Ovis aries: one gene and its partner. The protein of the gene in region 1 purifies or fractionates together with the protein of each later gene. This does not show direct contact. Links are inferred from orthologs where the notes say so. Each region holds a gene or a part of one and is shown on either strand. Other genes may lie near its edges.

Region 1 (3,519 bases):
GGAAGACTCAGCAGTGGCCACAGGACTGGAAAAGGTCAGTTTTCATTTCAATCCCAAAGAAAAGCAATGCCAAAGAATGCTCAAACTACCACACAGTTGCACGCATCTCACACACTAGTAAAGTAAGGTTCAAAATTCTCCAAACCAGGCTTCAGCAATACATGAACCATGAACTTCCAGATGTTCAAGCTGGTTTTAGAAAAGGCAGAGGAACCAGAGATCAAATTGCCAACATCTGCTAGATCATCAAAAAAGCAAGAGGGTTCCAGAAAAACATCTATTTCTGCTTTATTGACTATGCCAAAAAAGATGTCCTTTTTGGCATCTGTGGATGGAGACTGTGTGGATCACAATAATCTGTGGAAAATTCTGAAAGAGATGGGAATACCAGAGCACCTGACCTGCCTCTTGAGAAACCTGTATGCAGATCAGGAAGCAACAATTAGAACTGGACATGGGACAACAGACTGGTTCTAAATAGGAAAAGGAGTACGTCAAGGCTGTATATTGTCACCCTGCTTATTTAACTTATATGCTGAATACATCATGAGAAACGCTGGGCTGGAGGAAGCACAAGCTGGAATCAAGATTGCCGGAAGAAAGATCAATAACCTCAGATATGCAGATGACACCATCCTTATGGCAGAAAGTGAAGAGATCTAAAGAGCCTCTTGATGAAAGTGAAAGAGGAGAGTGAAAAAGTTGGCTTAAAGCTCAACATTCAGAAGACGAAGATCATGGCATCCGGTCCCATCACTTCATGGCAAATAGATGGGGAAACAGTGGCTGACTTTACTTTTTTGGGCTCCAAAATCATTGCAGAGGGTGATTGCATCCATGAAATTGAGACGCTTACTCCTTGGAAGGAAAGTTATGCCCAACCTAGAGAGCATATTAAAAAGCAGAGACATTCCTTTGTCAGCAAAGGTCCGTCTAGTCAAGGGTATGGTTTTTCCAGTAGTCATGTATGGATGTGAGAGTTGGACTATAAAGAAAGCCGAGCACTGAAGAATTGATGCTTTTGAACTGTGGTGTTGGAGAACTCCTGAGAGTCCATCCTAAAGGAGATTGGTCCTGGGTGTTCATTGGAGGGACTGATGCTGAAGCTTAAACTTCCATACTTTGGCCATCTGATGTGAAGAGCCGACTCATTTGAAAAGACCCTGATGCTGGGAAAGATTGAGGGCAGGAGGAGGAGGCGACGACAGAGGATAAGATGGTTGGATGGCACCACCGACTCAATGGACATGGGTTTGGGTAGACTCTAGGAGTTGGTGATCGACAGGGAGGCCTGGTGTGCATGGGGTTGCAAAGAGTCGGACACAACTGCACTGAATATTGTGTTCTCTTCTTTGTTTATGTACAGTAATTAGAAATTAATAGATATTCTGTTTATTTTTTGAAAAAAGCAGAGTTATCTACATCAAGGACTTTTTCTTTTGGCTTGGTTATTCCAGCCAAGCAAGACATTGATGTACCTAATAGTAGCCACCTAAATCCTTAGGAAAATACTTTCAGCTTCTGTGAGGCTAGCTGAGCCACTCCCAGCACACAGAATGACAGGAAATCAGTTATCTTTGATCAAAAATGAAAAACCCACAGCTTAAATGTGTTCAGAAACAGTTAAGTAGCAAATGAAGGAAACTGAAATTAAAGGATGTTGAGGAAACATTGTTGTAAGAGAAGCTTTTTTCTCTATCATTTCCACTGATGTTCAGTCTAAAAACTACTGACAATTAAAATGTTAAATCTGATCATGAAAATATTTATCAGAAGATGATTTGTAATCTAATGATTTGCTATCAAAGCAGATATAAATTATTCACCATGTTTTGTTCATGTTCCCTGAATTTTATAGAGAGGTGATGTCACTGATATTAGTGCTGAGACAAAATCATTCTTCTTAAACTTCTGAGTATTTGAAGACTCACTACCAAATATTGATATATGGTATAATAAGGTTATGGTGGATGAAGTACTGAACAGTGAGTTTTTTTTCTGTTCTCTGTTTTCATGTTTACTGTAGCATGTTAAATGCTTGTACAACCTCTCAAGAAGTAACCCAAATATCACAAGAAGCACAGAAAATGTTTGAGAAACTTGAGAAGTCCACAAAGCCTGTTGTGGCTGCCATCAATGGATCCTGCTTAGGAGGAGGACTTGAGGTACAGATTTCTTCCAGAGTCATTGAACCGCGGGCCAGCTCATTGTTGGGATCCACCAGCTGCAAACCTTTAGGCCACTGTTTTGCCTCAAGAAAAGCTCTTGAGGGCGAGTCAGCTTTTTCTGAGTCATTAAACTTCTGGATAGGTTTTTAGTCTTAGTCTCATGGCATTGAGCAAGCAAATCAGAGTGGCACGTTTTCATTTATAAATTGAGAAGAGTTGAACTAGATCCCTACGTTCCCTTTCAGTTCTAAAAAACCTTGTTCAAGTTTGCAAGGCAAAAATTCAGAAGTGCAGTTCATGCTCTTGAGCTACTTTAGTTGAGACAGTTAGCATATAGTGTATGTCATGTGTTCTGCGTGTAGTAAAGATGATAAATAACACAAGGTCTGAGAGGAGAGATACTTACCAGACTGGAACACATAGAAAAGAAGGAGGGAGGAAAATAAGAACATTTTTTGGACATTTATCACGTGCTGGGTTCTATACTAGCCACTTTCACACATTAATTAAGGAAAGCTGTGCTGCTGCTGCTGCTAAGTCACATCAGTTGTGTCCAACTCTGTGCGACCGCAGAGATGGTAGCCCACCAGGCTCCTCTGTCCCTGAGAGTCTCCAGGCAGGAACACTGGAGTGGGTTGCCATTTCCTTCTCCAGTGCATGAAAGGGAAAAGTGAAAGTGAAGCTGCTCAGTCATGTCCGACTCTTCGCGACCCCATGGATTGCAGCCCGCCAGGCTCCTCCATCCATGGGGTTTTCCAGGCAAGAGTACTGGAGTGGGTTGCCATTGCCTTCTCCCAAGGAAAGCTGTATATGGTTCTAAAAGATAAGCAGAATTTGATTAACCAGAAAACAGTGGCAAAACATTCCACATGTGGCATGATGTGAGCAAAGACAAGGATAACAAAGCCTAATTAGGATACCATAAGTAGGCCTGCTTGACTGAAGAGTCTTTATAGGGTATAGGGCTTCTAAACCTGAAATACCTATATAATTGTATGTGCATTTTTCTATTGAAAATTTCCATACTTTTCAGCAGATTTTCAAGGGGATCTGCAGCCCTAAAGAGTTTAATAACTTAGGAAAGAGAAATGAAGGAAAGCCAGAAAGGTAAATTCTAGAAAGCATCAAATGCCAGCCTAACAAATTTCAGTTTATTCTGTGGGCACATTCCTGCTTAATAAGTAATTTTTAGACCCTCACATATCCTAAGATGCTATAAAACTACATTTTTTAACATTCTAATTTTCCTTCATTTGTTTGAAGCTTGCCATTTCATGCCAATACAGAATAGCAACAAAAGATAAGAAAACAGTATTGGGTTCCCCTGAGGTCTTACTGGGAATCTTACCAG
Region 2 (2,302 bases), on another chromosome or scaffold:
CCTAGCCAACCAGGCCGACCTGGACGCCGAGTGGAGGAACCTTCTGGGTGAGCCCCCACTGCCGCGACTGCCCTCAGGGGCCTGGCCCCCAGAGCGGGTGGTCCCCGAGGCTGGGGGGCAGGGTTCCCTCTGAGTCTCCCAAAGGAAGGTGCCATGGCCAGCTGCCCGGAGGGCGCCCTGGGGGCCAGGTTCCTGTCCTTGCCCACTGAGCGAGCATGCCGAGGTGTACACGTGAGACGCACGCAGGGCGACCCACGCCTGAATTACCGTGGGCGTTGCTGCCAGGGGGTGAGCCGGCTGGCATGTGCAGACTTGAGGTGGGTCTCCAGACACACGCGCCAACATGCCTGCAATTGCGTGTGCATCTGCTCGTGTGAGGTGAGCCAGCACGCATCCGTATCGACCCCCGTGGTGACACAGGCCAGCACACATACACACCGAAACACACACTAACGTGGACGTGTGATGGCGTGAGGCAAACGTCGTGAGACTGAGGCGACGTGTGCACACAGTGGGCCAGGTGTGTGTGTATGTGCCGACGGGTGTAAGCTTAGACACACGTGCTCAGCCTGTACACACATGCCAGCACACACCGGAGCTCACGTGTAGGTGGGTTGGCCTGCAGTGAGCAGACACACAGAAATACTGCGGGCTGACATGCCTGTGCGTAGCACAGCCATGGGCCAGCGTTCGGCCATGCAAAGTACCCCGTGTTTCTGTTCACGCTGGCCAGACTCCATGGTGCTCATCACGGACAAGTTCTGGGGCCCGTCGGGTGCGGAGAGTGTCATCGGCGGCGTGCACTACTGGCTGGCAGAGGCCGTCAACGCCCTCCAGGACAACAGTGACACACTCACGGCCAAGGTGCGGCGGGGGGGGGAGCAGGGGGCAGGGGGGGCCCGGATGCGGCCTCGCGCCCGTCAGGACCCCTGCGTGCTCCCCTAGGTCATCCAGGGCTGCGGGAACCCCAAGGTGAACCCCCAGGGCCCTGGCCCCAAGGAGAAGTGGCCCCGGGGCAAGCTGGCGCTGCAGGAGAGGCCGCCCGCCGGCACGCTGCAGAAGCTGGTGAGTGGCCTCTGCTGGGCGGGCCCAGGGTGGAGAGGGCAGGGCAGGCTGGGGGGTGCGTCTGGTGGCCTGACCACTGCCCGCAGGTCTCCGAAGCCAAGGCACAGCTCCGAGACGCTCAAGACTTCTGGATCAGCCTCCCGGGGACGCTGTGCAGCGAGAAGCTGGCCATGAGCTCAGCCAGTGACGAGCGCTGCTGGAATGGGATGGCCAAGGGCCGGTGAGTGTCCCGCCGTTCTGGCCCCTCAGCTTGTCCGTGGCCCCGGGTGTGTCTTGCCCTGCACCAAGTCTGATGTGGGACACCCCGCGGGACCCAGAGCCGGGACGAGGGCCAGGTCCCCACCGCGCACACACGCTCAGTGCTTCCACGCTCTGCTGCAGGGGCCTGTGTGGGCTCCTGGCAGCCCTTGAAGGCCTCGGGAGATGGGGAGGGGGGTCTCGGACTTGCCACTACCCTGACTGGAGGAGCGAGGGCTGGATGGGTGTTGCTGGGGCCAGGCCCCTTTGTGGGGAGCAGGACAGTGACCCAGGGCTTGTCTTTCTGGTCTCCAGGTACCTCCCCGAGGTGATGGGTGATGGCCTGGCCAATCAGATCAACAACCCCGAGGTGGAGGTGGACATCACCAAGCCGGACATGACCATCCGCCAGCAGATCATGCAGCTGAAGATCATGACCAACCGCCTGCGCGGCGCCTACAGCGGCAACGACCTGGACTTCCAGGACGCCAGTGAGGGCGGGCAGGGGGTCGGCAACGATCTGGGCCTCCAGGACGCCAGTGAGGGCGGGCGGGGGGTGGGCAATGACCTGGGCCTCCAGGACGCCAGTGAGGGCAGGCAGGGGGTCGGCAACAACCTGGGCCTCCAGGACGCCAGTGAGGGCGGGCGGGGGGTGGGCAACGACCTGGGCCTCCAGGACGCCAGTGAGGGTGGGCAGGGGGGTGGGCAACGACCTGGGCTTCCAGGATGCCAGTGAGGGCGGGCGGGGGAGTGGACAACGACCTGGGCCTCCAGGACGCCAGTGAGGGCACCCGGGGTGGGGGTACCAGGGAGCCCCAGCTGGGAAAGGGTGCAGGGTCGGGGGAGGCCCTAGATAGGGAAAGGTGGGCGGGGGGGGGGCCCCACCCCGGGGCCCAGGTGGCTCTGAAGGCCCGGCTGCTGCCCAACTGTGGTCCCGATCCCCCACCCTGTTTCCAGGACGGCTGTGAGCCAGCCAGCACGTCCGCCCAGCCTCGGCAGG

Evidence for each region. The genes of interacting proteins can lie anywhere in the genome.
Region 2: the proteins of HADHA (region 1) and GPC1 purify together in Homo sapiens (co-immunoprecipitation; 3 studies listed by BioGRID and IntAct, with this or other methods). This does not show direct contact. The link is inferred for Ovis aries from reciprocal best matches to the Homo sapiens genes HADHA and GPC1.

Annotation. Positions count from the first base shown.
Region 1 is NC_056056.1:33,449,964-33,453,482, reverse strand, and holds part of HADHA (trifunctional enzyme subunit alpha, mitochondrial), read left to right. Parts: intron 1-2,026; coding exon 2,027-2,165; intron 2,166-3,431; coding exon 3,432-3,519. UniProt on the Homo sapiens protein: Mitochondrial trifunctional enzyme catalyzes the last three of the four reactions of the mitochondrial beta-oxidation pathway.
Region 2 is NC_056054.1:1,107,758-1,110,059, reverse strand, and holds part of GPC1 (glypican-1), read left to right. Parts: coding exon 1-47; intron 48-733; coding exon 734-864; intron 865-945; coding exon 946-1,065; intron 1,066-1,151; coding exon 1,152-1,285; intron 1,286-1,617; coding exon 1,618-1,799; intron 1,800-2,302. UniProt on the Homo sapiens protein: Cell surface proteoglycan that bears heparan sulfate. Binds, via the heparan sulfate side chains, alpha-4 (V) collagen and participates in Schwann cell myelination.